Linked DNA regions of Callithrix jacchus. The main gene of each other region encodes a partner of the protein of the gene in region 4 in a complex. Links are inferred from orthologs where the notes say so. Each region holds a gene or a part of one and is shown on either strand. Other genes may lie near its edges. The genes, in order: LAMTOR2, LAMTOR5, FNIP1 and FLCN.

What was found.
Region 1: FLCN (region 4) and LAMTOR2 share a complex: the UniProt entries of both Homo sapiens proteins name them as parts of the lysosomal folliculin complex. The link is inferred for Callithrix jacchus from reciprocal best matches to the Homo sapiens genes FLCN and LAMTOR2.
Region 2: FLCN (region 4) and LAMTOR5 share a complex: the UniProt entries of both Homo sapiens proteins name them as parts of the lysosomal folliculin complex. The link is inferred for Callithrix jacchus from reciprocal best matches to the Homo sapiens genes FLCN and LAMTOR5.
Region 3: FLCN (region 4) and FNIP1 share a complex: the UniProt entries of both Homo sapiens proteins name them as parts of the lysosomal folliculin complex. The link is inferred for Callithrix jacchus from reciprocal best matches to the Homo sapiens genes FLCN and FNIP1.

Annotation. Positions count from the first base shown.
Region 1 is NC_133519.1:16,441,224-16,445,568, forward strand, and holds the start of LAMTOR2 (ragulator complex protein LAMTOR2), read left to right. Parts: upstream 1-1,503; 5' UTR 1,504-1,564; coding exon 1,565-1,632; intron 1,633-1,937; coding exon 1,938-2,100; intron 2,101-4,345. Other genes in the region: UBQLN4 (ubiquilin-4), read right to left, coding at 276-687. UniProt on the Homo sapiens protein: As part of the Ragulator complex it is involved in amino acid sensing and activation of mTORC1, a signaling complex promoting cell growth in response to growth factors, energy levels, and amino acids.
Region 2 is NC_133508.1:148,257,617-148,261,665, forward strand, and holds the start of LAMTOR5 (ragulator complex protein LAMTOR5), read right to left. Parts: upstream 2,850-4,049; 5' UTR 2,725-2,849; coding exon 2,528-2,724; intron 1,653-2,527; coding exon 1,591-1,652; intron 1-1,590. UniProt on the Homo sapiens protein: As part of the Ragulator complex it is involved in amino acid sensing and activation of mTORC1, a signaling complex promoting cell growth in response to growth factors, energy levels, and amino acids.
Region 3 is NC_133503.1:76,995,573-76,999,135, reverse strand, and holds part of FNIP1 (folliculin-interacting protein 1), read right to left. Parts: intron 3,458-3,563; coding exon 2,041-3,457; intron 1,205-2,040; coding exon 1,036-1,204; intron 1-1,035. UniProt on the Homo sapiens protein: Binding partner of the GTPase-activating protein FLCN: involved in the cellular response to amino acid availability by regulating the non-canonical mTORC1 signaling cascade controlling the MiT/TFE factors TFEB and TFE3.
Region 4 is NC_133506.1:62,344,277-62,347,839, forward strand, and holds part of FLCN (folliculin), read right to left. Parts: intron 2,379-3,563; coding exon 2,188-2,378; intron 117-2,187; coding exon 3-116; intron 1-2. UniProt on the Homo sapiens protein: Multi-functional protein, involved in both the cellular response to amino acid availability and in the regulation of glycolysis.

The DNA.
Region 1 (4,345 bases), on a different chromosome or scaffold from region 4:
TTCCCGGTGCAAAGTGTCCCCTCCTCACTCTCCACCACGCCCCCAGCCCAGGCCACACGGCAAAACCCGCCCCTCAACACGCGCCACGCTCCCCTAGATCTCCCCTCGCAGGGCGCCCCCTACCCGCCTCTCCCTTCCTCCAGCTCCACGGAGTCCCAGCTGGCCCTCGCCCTCCTCTCCGGGGCCCTCCGGGACGCCAGAACCTCAGGGAGGGCCCCCCATCTCTTCACAGACCCCTCCTCCGCGCTCCCTCCGCCCCCCGCCAGCCGTACTACCTCCTTGACCGAGGCTCGATCGCAGATTACAATTTCCTCCTTGTCCTTGGGGGTCTTGACGGTGACCCGAATGGGGGGCCTCGTCTCGGCCCCGCTCGGCTCCGCCATGCCGCCGCCGCCGCCACCCGGCCGCCCGCCAGCCCGTCCAGCTCCTCCTCCTCCCCGCCCGCCCGGCCAGCCCGGCTCGGCTCCAGCGCCTCCAACACTCCCCTCTCTCCACCTCTCCCCTTCCTCCCCTCCTCTCTCCTCCCCTCCCCGAGGCTTCACCGCCCCCTCCGGACCAGCCGCAGCCACAGCGCCCCGGGCGGACCGGGGGGGCCACTGCAGCGGGTTCCGCCCAGGGCCGAGCCCCGGGTCCGGAGCCAGGCCCGGGGCTCGCCAGGCTGGGGCCCCTGGGGGGCGCTCTGGGCATGGGGAGGGGCGTGCCCTTCACTGCGGGGGCGGGGACGGACTCCTCGGGGAGACAGAGGCCCAACGCTGCCCGCCAGAGCCGTGCCGCGGTCCCTTCCAGCCCAAAGCTTCCCCGCCCCCTCCGCGTCTAACTCCGCTCCGGGACAAAGGACTTTCTGTGTCGCCGCTTTATCTCCATTCCCTGTAATAACTTGGTCTTTCTTGGAAGCCCAAAGTCCTTTCCAGGCCAGGGGCCTTTCCCGACCTGGAGGTTGGGTTTTCCCACCAAGTTAAGTCCTTAGGATCTTAGCTCTGGGACTGACCCTATAGCTCCGAGGGTCACGGCCTAACTGGTCTATTAAGAATGGTTCCAGGGAGTTGGGTTTTGGCTGCGTGGCCTTTCTGAGCCTTGGTTTTCTCAAGATAATAGTAACAGTTCCCCTCGCCTCATCGCACAAAATTGTGCATAACGGAGAAAACTGTTTTGAAAGTAACCAAAGGCATGCCTGACAAATATAAGGATGTAGTCTAATTATTGAATCGTGGACTGCCAAGCGGACACGTTGACTCCTTTCTCCCCGAAGGAGTTAAATGTCCTTCCAGTGCTGCCACTGTCCTTCCACTCCCGCTCTTTTTGCCCCCCGCAACCGCGTGGTCAGCCTGGAAAGGCGAACTATAGTTCCCAGGGTGCCTCGCGAGGCCACAAGGAACTACGATTCCCAGAGCCGCCCGCGGCGGGGTGGGGAGTTGAGTCGGAACTACAATAACCAGGCGAGGAAACTACAACTCCCAGGGCGTTTGGAAGCAGGCCACGGGACTACGGGAAGCAGAAGTCAGCGGCTCGCGGGAGGCACCTCGGAGGATCTGGGTGCAAAAGCCCAGGGTTAGAAGCCGTAGGCATGTTGCGCCCCAAGGCTTTAACCCAGGTGCTAAGCCAAGCCAACACTGGAGGAGTCCAGAGCACCCTGTGAGTGCGGACCACGGACCCGAGCGGCCAGCCCCGTAGTTGGGCTGCGCGCGGCTCCCTGAGGGAGGGGTGGGGAAGGATCGCCGGGAAGGGAGGAGGCGGCAGAGCGGGCAGCGGCTGGGAGTGCTGGCCAGTAGATACCCTCTCGAAAAGGGAAGCCGGTGTGCTGGGTGCTTAGGGCGCGTTCCAGGACACACTAAGCCCAGACCCTTGCTGGCTGTGCTAGTGGTGGGACTTGGGCTGGAAACCCAGGCGTTTTACTCTCTGTCCTGGGCACAACGTTATCCTTCCCCGCCCCTCACCAGGCTGCTGAATAACGAGGGATCACTGCTGGCCTACTCGGGTTACGGGGACACTGACGCTCGGGTCACTGCGGCCATAGCCAGTAACATCTGGGCCGCCTACGACCGGAATGGGAACCAAGCGTTTAATGAAGACAATCTCAAATTCATCCTCATGGACTGCATGGTATGGAGAGGGAAGCCAGACTTCCCCTGCCCCCCAAGGGGATCCCAAGGGGGTGACCCGGACCCCATCCTGGATGGTTGGAGGGGCAGGGACAGTGTCTCCGGAAGATTACTAAGAGTTGGTCTGCAGCAGCATTCGTAATAGGCAGGACCCTATTCATCAAATGGTGGTGAGGAAGGAGCCCTGGACCTGAGAGGTCTGACTTGGGTTCTGGTTTCAGCCATCCACTTATCAGTTGTGGAACCTTGGGTAAGTCGCCTAACCTCTCTCAGCTTCCTTACCTCATGTCTAAGGAGGAAGCAGCTATTTCCCTTTTCCCGCTCCCCTCCTGGATGGTTGTGAAGATCGGATGAAATAATGGGTATAAACAGTAGAACGATGTGCAAACACGAAGTGTTGTCATCCCAGCCTCGCCGACTCACAGAACCATGGTGGTCTCCAGACCCTAGTCCAACCCCTCACGGTTACAAACAAGGGAAAATGAAGTCCAGAAAGGGGAAGTTGCCGTTAGCTTGTGAACCTCTTAGTATCTGTTTAGTCAATAAGTATTTAGGTCCTTGTAGTGTTCTCAGGACTAGGGAAAAAAATAGCAAACAGAAAGGCAAAACCCCCAGCCCTAATAAATCTTAACAGTGATACAATAATGGCTCACTGCAGCCTCGACCTCCCTGGGCTCAGGTGATCTTCCTGTCTCAGCCTCTTAAGTAGCTGGAAGTACAAGCATCCACTACCACACCTCCCTAATTTTTGCATTTTTTGCAGAGATTGGGTTTTGCCATGTTGCCCGGGCTGGTCTCGATCTCTTGGCTCAAGTGATCCACCTGCCTCAGCCTCCCAAAGTGCTGGGATTACAGGCATGAGCCACTGTGCCCGGCCACATTATTTAAAATAAGTAAAATATGTAGTATGTTAGGTATTGAAAATGCAATGTAAGGCCGGGCGCAGTGGCTCACGCCTGTAATCCCAGCACTTTGGGAGGCTGAGGCAGGTGGATCTCGAGGTCAAGAGATCGAGACCATCCTGGTCAAAGAGGTGAAACCCTGTGTCTACTAAAAATACAAAAATTAGCTGGGCATGGTAGCGCGCGCCTGTAGTCCCAGCTACTTGGGAGGCTGAGGTAGGAGAATTGCTTGAACTCAGGAGGCGGAGGCTGCGGTGAGCCGAGATCGTGCCATTGCACTCCAGTCTGGGTAACAATAGCGAAACTCCGTATCAAAAAAAAAAAAAAAAGAAAAGAAAATGCAATGTAAAGAAAGGAGGGAAGTGAAAGTATGAGTTTGTTGGGTGTATGTGTCAGAGACAGTCTCACTGAAAAGGTGACATTTGATCAAAGATCTGAAGAAAGGTCATGGCAAGCCATGTGGCTATCTAGGGGAAGAATATTTTGGACAGAACAGCAAGCACGAAGGCCTTGAGGCAGAATTGTGCCTGCCCAAGGATCAACAGAGTTGGTTGGTATGGCTGGAGCTGCATGAAAATGAATGGAGGGTGGTAGGAGATGGTGTCAGAGAGGCAGAGAGTGCAGTGCTTGGTTTCCCGCGTAGAATGAATACCTAGTAAAAATTTGTTGAACTTACTTTTTTTTTTTTCCATATCGGCCAGAGGGTGAACTCTCTAGGAAGGGTCTTCATTGTAACCCAGCTGCTATTCTCTTCTGCCACCTGCACAACCAATGCTATTTTAGTTCAACATATGACGCTTAGTGAATGCCTAGAGCTGGTGCTATAGCTTTCAAACGTTTTGACCACAACCAAGCCATAAGAAATACATTTTAAGGGGCCAGGCACTGTGGCTCACGCCTGTAATCCCAACACTTTGGGAAGGCGAGGCAGGCAGATCATGAGGTCAGGAGTTTGAGACCAGCCTGTCCAACCTGGTGAAACCCCATTTCTACTAAAAATACAAAAATTAGACCGGGTGCAGTGGCCCACACCTGTAATTCCAGCACTCTGGGAGGCCGACACTGGCAGATCACCTGAGGTCAGGAATTCAAGACCAGCCTGGCTAACATGGTGGAACCCCATTTCTACTAAAAATACAAAAAATTAGCCAGGTGTAGTGGCATGCGCCTGTAATCCCAGCTACTCAGGAGGCTGAGGCAGGAGAATCACTTGAACCTGGGAGGTGGAAGTTGCAGTGAGCCAAGATCACACCATTGCACTCTAGCTTGGGCAACAAGAGTGAAACTCAATCTAAAATATATCTATATATATATACACACACACACACACACATAAAAATTAGC
Region 2 (4,049 bases), on a different chromosome or scaffold from region 4:
CTGGCCAACATGGTGAAACCCCATCTCTACTAAAAATACAAAAATTAGTCAGGCATGGTGGTGGGCCCCTATAATTCCAGATACTCAGGAGGCTGAGGCAGGAGAATAGCTTGAACCTGGGAAGTGGAGGTTGCAGTGAGCCGAGACTGTGTCACTGCACTCCAGCCTGGGCAACAGAGCAAGACTCCATCTCTGTAAAAAAAAAAAAAATCACGAGTAAGAGGCCTCAGGGCCAAAAACCCTAGCTTACCCACTTATTTAACCTCCGTGTCTAAGTTTCTCTTTTTAATTTTTTTTTTTTTTGAGACAGAATCTTGCTCTTGTTGCCAGTCTGGAGTACAACAGCACGATCTTGGCTCACTGCAACCTCTGCCTCCCAGGTTCAAGCGATTCTCCTGCCTCAGTCTCCTGAGTAGCTGGGATTACTGGCACCTGCCACAACGAGCCTAATTTTTTTTTTGTATTTTTAGTAGAGATGGGTTTTCACCATGTTGGCCAGGCTAGCCTGGAACTCCTGACTTCAGGTGATCCACTTGTCCCCACCCCCACCTCCCAAAAGTGCTGGGATTACAGGTATGAGCCATGGCATCTGGCCTTTTTAAATTTAAAAAACAATAAAATAGAGATGGGGGAGGTCTCACTGTGTTGCACAGGCTGGTCTTGAACTCCTGGGCTCAAGTGATCTGCCCACCATGGCCTCCCGACCTCCCAAAGTGCTGGGATTACAGGTATGAGCCACAGCATCTGGCCTTTAAAAATTTTAAAAACATATATATAAAATAGAGATGGGGGGTGGTTTCACTGTGTTGCACAGGCTGGTCTTGAACTCCTGGGCTCAGTGATCTGCCTGCCTTGGCCTCCCAAACTGCTGGGATTACAGATGTGAGCCACTGCGCCTGGCCCCTCCACTTCTTTTTCTACCTCACAGGGTTGTTTTAAGGAATAAAAGAGTTAGTATATGTAAAGGACTTACAATGGTGCTTGGTATATAACAAAAGCTCAATAAATGTAATTCTAATGATTACCATTATTAAATAACAACCTAGTGAAGAAAATGAAGCCCTAAAAGGTAGTTTTTGGTCCACGTTCATACTGCCAGCAAATCAAAAAGTAAGGGACTGAGCCCAGGTATGTCCAACACTGAAACCCCATTTTACTGCCTATTCACTTCTTGTTTAGTGTAGTTGAGCTTAAAAATAGGACACCATCCACTCTGCGGGGTTGCTGTGAAAATTAAAGGCAGTGTATTTAGAACCTAGCAGTCTCAGCATATGGCATACATTCAATAAATGGTTAACAGCTGTCATTCTCTCAAGTCCTTTCTAGACTTCATTTAACATGATTCAAATACCATTTTTAGTAAAGACAACTACTTAGTGCTATAGAACAGCAGGGAACATCCTCCTTCATAAATACCAACTGAAACTTTCAATTTTCTGATACTGTTATTTGGAGATAATCTCTACTCTCAGAAACTCAGAAAGAACCGGCAAGGTAACAGAACATAAAAGCTAGAAAACAAAACCACGCTAGGCTCCAAGTCAACAGCAGATGCTACGGAATTCATCACACGGCATGAGAGATACTTACAACCCAGATTAAGTCCTTGTGAATCTGTGCACAGGACTCCAACAATGGAGGGATTCTTCATTCTAATTTCAGGAACACAGAGAGTTGAAGCAGATAATGGGAGAAAAAGGATTTGAGCATACACGTGCTCTATGTACCAGACATTAAGTGCTTTAAATCAATGTTTCTCAATCTTTTTTCATTATCACACTCTAAGAAAAAAATTATTCTAATTAATTAATTTAAATAAACCAGTTTTTTCTCTCATGAGAGAGAAAAAACTGCTAAGTACTGTTGAGTTTTGGAGGGCCACAAACACTGCAATATCTAGGATGTTTTCACTCTTGTTAAAAATGCATGCTTTAGTACTAACTCATTTAAAACTGTTGAAAACCTCTTAAATCGCCTCCTGGAGGGTAAATGGAAGCTGAGGGACATCGTTGGGAGGCCAGGTGTCTCTGTACCCTTTATACTTTTCCAGTTTCGAATTTTACATAAATACTGCTTGTTCGAAAAATTTAAAGGATGACTTTGATCTACGTAAGTACCAAGTAACTGACAGGATACACACAGGAGATAAATGTTTGTTTACACTGCAGGGCTTGACTGTGCACAACTGGCACAACCTTCCCCAAAGTTAACCCCTTTCCTAAACCTCCCGCAGAACAACCCTGACCGTAAAGACGATTTCAACAACGAGATAAGCAGTTTTGGCCGTAGCCTGAGCCCAGGAGACTCGCTCAAGAGGGGATGTGCGGTGCCCGGCAGAATTTTAATTCCGGGTCACCAGTCCCGCCCTGCGGCCCTCGGGTAGGGCTCAGCTCCCTCATCCCTTGTCCTGGGGGTAGCGCGACGTCCCCGAGACGCCCTGGCAGGCACTCGCAGCTCGCGCCTTTTGTCCCGCTCAAGTTCCTCCGCCGCGACTTCAGGACGGGCCGAAGAGGCGCGCACTACTCACGTGTCTTCCAAGTGCTGCTCCAAGGTCGCCTCCATCCCACCCACCGTCCACCCCGGCCCAGAACCCAGCGGCACGCCGCGTCCGACTCCACCACAGGCCTCAGTCACTTGACGCGAGCGGGGCGTGGACCGGAACGGCGCCTCCAAAGGGACAAAATTGATCACGGCGCAACGTCCGCGTTTTTTACTGGAAAACATCACTGCGCTTCCGCCGCACAGAGCCTGGCGAAGGTGACAGTCGGTGACCCGCGCGTGGCTCCCCAGCGGAATGATTTCCCTCTCAGGAGCGAGGTCTGTAGCCGAGCTTCAGTGCCTCAGTTCCTGGCCTGGCATTTTGTGTCAGTGTTTTTTAACCTCTGGACTCTGATTCAACCGACTCTGAGACCTAGGGGCCAGACGTTCTGTTTTACAGTAACCCAGGGGTCAGACAGGGCCTGATCTAGCCTGTGGGGCAGGTACGAAGGGGACCTCTGGGAGCGGGTCCATAGGCTTGTAGGGGGAAAGACTCAGAGGACTAAAGGACTAGAGGGAGCGAGGTTCAACCCCCAGCTGTGTTGGCAAAGTGTTGGGATTTTAGCGAAGACACTGGTGCTTATTATGGTGAGGGGACTCAGGTCAGTTTAGGGAAAGAGAGTGGCATCTGAGTCCTAACTTGTAAGGAAGACTAGGTAGGACTACTTAAAAATTACTTTAAAAAATTAATTATAGGCCGGGCGCTGTGGCTCACGCCTGTAATCCCAACTCTTAGGGAGGCAGAGGCGGGAGGCTAGCTTGAGCCCAGGAGTTCGAGATCTGCCTGGGCAATATAGCGAGACCCCGTTCTCCACAAAAAGGAAAAAAACAAAAAGACAAAAATAATTAATTATAAAAGTGATAAAAATAGAAAACACTTATGGTCCCACTGTCCAAAGATGACTTTTAATCCCTTTGAGAGTATCCTTTCAGATAGTGGTCTTTGCAAATGGACACTTTTAATGTTTTTTTGTTTGCCTTTTTAAAATAACTTTTTTGGGGACAGGATCTTGCTCTGTCACACAGGCCAGAGTGCACTGGCATGATTATAGCTCATTGCAACCCTGACGTCCAGAGTTCAAGCTATCCTCCCCTCTTAGCCTCTTGACTGGCTAGGGCCACAGCCTTGAGCCACCATGGCTGGCTAATTTTTACATTTTTTTGTAGAGATGGGGGTCTTGCTGTGTTATCCAGGCTGGTCTCAAACTCCTTGCCTCAAAAGATCCTCCCACTGCAGCTTCCCAAAATGTGATTACAGGCTGACTCACCATATCCATGTTTTTTTTTTCTTTTGTAAGCAAAATTGACATATATATTGGAGGTACAATTCTGTATCTGGCCTTCTTCACAGAGTTTAGAATAAATGTCTTTCCATGTCAAGTTTTCACTTACGTCCTTCGTAATAGTTGCAGAATATTCCATTTATAGCTGTATCCTAATTGTGGATTAAGGCTGGAGTGCAGTGGCGTTATCATGGCTTAGTGCAGCGATGCTGTCATGGATTAGTGCAG
Region 3 (3,563 bases), on a different chromosome or scaffold from region 4:
GGGCTGGGCACAGGGGCTTACACCTGTAATCCCAGCACTTTGGAAGGCCAAAGCAGAAGGATTATCTGAGATCGGAAGTTTAAGACCAGCCTGACCAACATGGAGAAACTCTGTCTCTACTAAAAATACAAAATAATACAAAATTAGCCGGGTGTGGTGGCACATGGTGCATGCCTGTAATCCCAGCTACTCGGGAGGCTGAGGCAGAAGAATCACTTGAACCCAGGAGGCAGAGGTTGCAGTGAGCTGAGATTGCGCCATTGCACGCCAGCCTGCATAACAAGAGTGAAACACCATCTCAAAAATAATTAAGTAAATAAATAGGGTTTATCCATCTAATAAAGGGCATTACAAGAACCTTACAGCTAACATCACACTTAATCATGAAAGATGCAACGTCTTCTCCTAAGATCATGAATAAGGCAATGATGTCCATGGTCACCATTTCCATGCAACATTCTATTTAAAGTTCTAGCCAGTACAATGAATCAAAAAAAAAAAAAAAAAAAAAGTTGGGGGCAGGAGGGACAAAAGCATCCAGATTGTTAAGAAAGATTTAAAACTATCTGTTCACTGATAACATGAGCCTGTATGTAGGAAACCTTAGGGAATCTATACAGAAAAACTGAATAGACTAATATGAGTTCAGAAAGGCCACAGGATATAGGATCAATACGCAAAAGCCAACCCCACTTCTATATGTAAGCAATGAACAATCTGAAAGGGAAATTAAGAAAATAATTCCATTCAAACTTAAGCACCTATAAATTTCTGATACTGTAAATAACCTAGCTGATGAACATCCATGAATACATAAAGTACTTTCTGTATTTCTGATATCCATGTGGATAAATTTCTGAAACTTTATTTGCTCTCACAGTGACAGTAAGATAACAGACACTGAATATAAAGTAATGAAATCAGAGAATAAGGATTGTGTTGTAAAAGTATGACCAAAAATATAAGGCAATTTTGGGTTCTGCTGCTTAACATAGTTTGTTCTAAATAAACTCAAGACCAGTGAAGGTCACTTACCTGCACAGCATGAGACAAATCTGACATCAGACACTGACGGAACCTCTCATCACTCCCAATTCCTTGAAGAACAAAGTCAGGCACATAAGATGAGCAGTAGCCACCCAGCAAGGACCTCCCAAAATTGGCAATGTTGGGCTGAACAGCACTCACTTCAATTAACTTTGACCTGGAAGAAAAGTACCCCCCAAAGACATCTAATTAATAATAAACTTTTTTAACCAGTTAAAAAAAGAATTGTGAACTCTACTAGTCCACATTTTATACTAGTCTGTATTAATATAAAGAGTAAAATCATCCTTATATAATGGTAATGGTAAAATTCAAGAGTAAACTGGTAATAATAGTAAAATCAAGAGTATAATCATCCTTATTTAAAAACTTGCTCAAGTGCTCTATCAGAAAACAAAACACTTCTTATCAAGATGAGAAGGTCTGAGGAACAACTCAGTAATGAAGTGAGAATTAATCTTTTGTAACAGACTTTAAGAGAGCTGTCCCCTAAGTTTGTAACACATTCTTAATACAATCATCTAAAACAAAGTAATTAAATGCTTCACAAGTCCAAAGGTGGGTATGTAACATTTCTCAAGCATGAATCTTTTTACATACTTAACTGAAAATATACATTCTGTTTTCTTCTTAGTTTTGGCCAAACATATTTCAAACAGCCATCTAACATCTCAAGGATTAGTGCTCTCTGCCAGGCTCAGCATATGTCCTTTTGGGGGGCATAATTCACTCCTAAATGGCTTGAAACCTTCTAAGCAGTAAGAAATCATAACCAGATCCTTTAACTTTTCTCTGAGGTCTTCATAAAACCTTTCTGAGGTGTTTCTGGAACTCAGGCTTTAATCTTTTTTATGAGTTAAGAGAATATGAAAATAAGAGAAATCTATCTAGGACAATGATCTCTTCTTTTATACCAACCTTCAGAGAACAGCTAAACAAAAGTATGGTACATATTTATATAGGGCCCATTATAGGTGAAAACTTCCTACGTACCCAGGAAATGGTATTTCATCCTCTTCTGCCCAGTCTTCTTGCTCTCCTCCATAATAACTGCTAACTTGCCTAGTCATATCATGACCTGTATCTTCACTTTCACTATCCCCAAGGGCACTATCTGAACTTTCATTTCTTGGAATGTCCCATTCAGTTCCTATGGCAATTTTTTTGTCTGAACTCTCTTTATCCCCATGGGGGACAAGAATGGAGAGTGTATCTCTTTGGTCCTGCTGAGGAAAGCAGGTTTTACATGAATCTTGGGGAACTGCTTGTATACATTTACAAAATTCATTGTTTTGTTTGTTATTTTTTGTACACAATATTTTTGAAAACTCTAACATACAGCAATGGTCTTTACTATCTGTACTTGTTTTAATTGGAACATCATCAATAGTCCTGGTTTCAATTGAATCATCATTAAAATATTCATCAAATAAGCTCATGCTTTCTGGGTCTGAATGATTCCAACAGGGAAGTTCGCAGGGCTCTTCAGAAACCATGTTCTGTATATCAGACTCTCCAGATTGGTCCTTAGTTGTCTGTTTAGTTTCTTGATGCTGATCAATAGCCCCTCTTTCTTTCTTCAGTGGTTTGGTGTGATGCCTGGTAATCTGATCCACCACTGCCTGACTTCGAAGCTCAGTATCTGAATCAGGTGACATAGAATCCCCAATCAGGAAAGTAACCTTTGTGTGGGCAGCCTCACAAGAAAATGAAGCAGACACAATCTTATCTGGAGGTTTCTTTTCCACAACCATTCCTGTGGATCTCATTGCTTTGCTTGTGTGACTATCTGAATCCAGCAACTTCTCACTCTGCCATGTTTCCTCTGTTGGCTCTAAGCCTGACTCTGACAATGAACATTTGTCTACTGGAACAGATCCTGTGCAAACAACTGTCTCTAACTTGGTGTCAAGGCAAGTTCTTAATTTATCTCTGTACTGTTTAACATCAACAGCATTTTCTTCTTGGCAGTCAGAAGGAGAAATCACCCGGCACTCATCTGAAATTCCTAAAAGCTCCTTAGAGCTGTTTTGAATATCTTCTCTCTCTTGTTGAGAAATGTTCTCTACATTTTGCCCAAGGAGTGGACGACTGCAATATTTACAGTTACAATTAGAAGTTCTTACTTCCGACTCTTTAAAGAGCAAACTGCTTTTGTTTCTATGCATTGTGACAAGGACATACTCTGATTCTTCTATTTCACCTTTCTCTAAAGTGGTAGTAATAACTGTGCCTGGCATAACGATGGCTTCATCTTCTCCATTTTCTAAAAGATGTGTTTCTTGAAGTTCAGAGCATCTTATAAAATAAGTAAGAAAATAAAGTAGCCTCTGGACCATATCTTGTCGTTTGCCAACCACCACAGTCCTTGCTAACCGTACAGGAGAGCCGATAGCACCGTACAAGTCTCCTGTAATAAAAAAAACTCAGTTATTAAGCACATCCTTTACTGACCCAGCTAAGTAGGCTGTTTTTAATGATCAGAAACCTACTCTTACTATATGAATTGTAGTTTA
Region 4 (3,563 bases):
ACCCGAAGCACTTCAAAGGCTGACTGCACGAGGTCCACGTCTCTGCTTTTCCAGATCACCTGGTTCCCCATGAGAACGTGCCAGGCCAGCATGCGGAAAGACGGGGCGCCCAGGACCTAAACAAGAGAATGCAGTGCTTTCAGCATGACTAGGAGAAATGGTTTTCCTCTCCCTTCCCATGAAGTTATTGATTTGTGTTCATAAAATGTTATAGAACAAAGACAGGTTCAGGAGAAAGTCACTTATCTTCTCAGGGAGGCGGTGCCCAGCCCAGGGTTAAATGGGGAGAGACAGAAGTTCCAGGTTTGCACTTAAAAGCCAGATTCCAAAGCTCTTGCTCCAAGATCTTCCTCCCAATTTTGTTTTTAAAAACTTGAAGCAAAAAGATGTTAACTTCCTGCAATATTTATTCACCTTCTCTTTACAGACACTTTTTTTTTTTTGAGATGGAGTTTCACTCGTTACCCAGACTGGAGTGCAATGGCACGATCTCGGCTCACCACAACCTCCCACTTCTGGGTTCAAGCAATTCTCCTGTCTCAGCCTCCTGAGTAGCTGGGATTACAGGCACGCACCACCATGCCCAGCTAATTTTTGTATTTTTAGTAGAAACGGGGTTTCACCATGTTGACCAGGATGGTCTCGATCTCTTGACCTCGTGATCCACCCGCCTCAGCCTCCCAAAGTGCTGGGATTACAGGCTTGAGCCACCGCGCCCAGCCTTTACAGACACTTTTTGCCGAAGCATTTGAAAGCAGGCTGTAGGGCCCTCTACCGGCGGCACCCAGAACAAGGATGTCACCACAGCTGAGACATGATGGCTCCATGACTGGAGCCCATCATGGTGAGACCACGATGGACACACCTGACATCCAGCCATGTGCACAAGCCCAGGGCCCTTGCCTGCTTGGCAGCTGCTGTTCTTTTGATCCAGGAGCTACTATAGCACCGTGACTGCCTTTAGTTATCATGTCCTTATTCTTTAACCTAGAACAGCCTCTCTCCAGACCCCACCTTTTATTAGCTTCCACGACACTGACACCTTAGGAGAGTCCAGCCTGTTGTCTCACTGCTTCTAAGAAGCCAAACACGGCTTTGAAACAAAACCTAAGAGAGAGGCCACAATACCACATTTCACCAAATCCTCAGAGCCTCAAAGCAGTCGCACCTCCAGAGGAATTCCACACACCTTCCAACCTTCATCTACGCAAGAAATTGACAAGGAAGGTTTCAGCCGAATGTAGGATTTTAATGGATTGAGTGTTTTCATCCAGAAGCCCCAAGGGCATCTGCCATGAAATCAGTCTTACTCCATTTTCCAAAACAAATAACACCCTTCTGATGAATCAGTACTCATTGGAAAAATAAATACAGAAGATATTTTTTTTTTTTTTTTGAGAGAGATTGCTCCTGTCACCCAGGCTAGAATGCAATGGTATGATCCTGGCTCACTGTAACTCAGCCTCTCAAGTAGCTGGGGTTACAGACATGTACCAACACATCCAGCTAATTTTCTATTTTTAGTAGAGATGGGGTTTCTCTCTGTTGATCAGGCTGATCCCAAACACCTGACCTCAGGTGACCCGCCTGCCTTGGCCTCCCAAAGTGCTGGGATTACAGGTGTGAGCCACCGTGCCCGGCCAGAAGAATCTTATCAAGGACATAGCCTGCCCCTGCAATGGAGCAACCCACACCTACTCCTCCAATTCTGTTATGTCCGGCAGGCACACATGTGCATATATCACCCTAAACACACGCTGCCTGCTTTATTTCTTCTAATTAATCATATTCCACGGTTTGGCTACCATTTACTACAATGGTTTGATACTCAGGTTCTTCCTAATTTTTTTGTAAGAATGACCTCACTTTCAATCAGCAGGGTCCTGGCTGCACCCAAACCAATAATAGTGCTGTTCACTGCCTCCTGGAGGTTCTCAGAGGATCAGAGGGACCATGGGATGCCAACTATTTGGCCTTTCTTTGAAGATACTTAGGTCATCACTGAAGGGGGAGCACTGATCTTACGGCTAATACTCCCGACACCCTGTGCCCTCAGCCATCAATCGAGAGGCTGTCAGTCACTTCCCACAGGGTTTTGAAGATGGAGAGCCCAGAGGTAAGGCATGTGGGTGGGGACGGTTTTGCTCTCCTCCTGAGCTCCTGATGCTTTTTGTCCCTGCCACCTACCTGCCTCATGTGCCGGAGGGACTTGAAGACTGGCAGCTTCCGGGGCTGCCAGCTCCCACAGCCTGAAAGACAGGAGGACTCTGCCGGGCCCTGGGTCAGCTCCCGCCCTTCTGCACCCTCTGGCAACACAGGGGCTTTCTCCTCCTCTTCAGCTTCAGAGTTGTCCCAGGTTTCTGATTCCTCTTCTAAATCTGCAAGACAGACAACAAGGACAGTTACAGATACAAACCTGTGACTACAGCCCAAGGCACCTCGTGGGCTGAACTGGTCAGTGTAGATTCCTAGCTGTGGCCAGGTCCCATGTTCCCTGTTGCTCTGGGAGCCCTGTGCCGGGAGGGAGGGCTCAGTTGCTGTCTGCTTAGCCCAGGGCACCACACGTCCATCTTAGAAACACTTACAGAAAGACCATCAGCTATTCTTTGCTGGTGAGAAAACTCAAACTAGTGAAAAATGCCAACAGTGTGTCTTCTGAACACATCCAGTCGGCCACAGTTCTCAACGATCTACAAATCGTTTTTATTTTTTTCCACTTTCATTTTAGATTGAGGGGGTACAGGTGTAGTTTTGTTACAAAGGTACGCTGGGTGGTGCTGAAGTTTGGGCTGCTATTGATCCTGTCACCCAAAGAGTGAACCACAAGAAGTAATATACCCAGACAGTATCCAATAGAAAGTATTTCAGCCCTTGGTCCCCTCCCTCCCTCCCTCCTTCTGGAGTCCCTGGTGTCTACTATTCCCATCTTTTTATTTGAGACAGGGTCTCACTCTATTGCCCAGGCTAGAATGCAGTGGCACAATCACGGCTCACTGCAGTCTCAATCTTCTGGGCTCAAGTGATCCTCCCAACTAAGCCTTCCAAGCAGCTGGGAGTCCAGTCATGCACCATCACGCCCAACTACTTTTCATATTTTTTGTAGAGGCTGGACCTCGCTATGTTGCTTAGGCTGGTATCAAACTCCTGAGCTCAAGCCATCACCTGTCTCAGTCTCCCAAGTGCTGGGACTCCAGGTGTGCACCAATGCCTAATTTCATTCTTCTTTATGGCTGCATCCAACATCATTTCATTTAGTCCTCTCAATTGTGCTGAGGTCAGGTCAGCACTATTACCTCCATTTCACAGATAAAGAAATGGGTATTTGTCATTTCAATGAACCTTCATGGAGCCCTCACAAATGACCACATCTCCATTTCACATCATGAAACCCAAAGGGAAGGGTGCACGTGAGAAGCAGAGCCAGAATGCGAAGCCAGGCCTGAGTCCAAAGGGCAAGCCTTGAGCCTGAAACCCCACACTGCACATACCCCGCACACCCACTTCCAAGTTCTCACAAAGGCTTCGACAGCTCTGGCTCTTTGAGCTAGAAAGTTCCCCAAGAC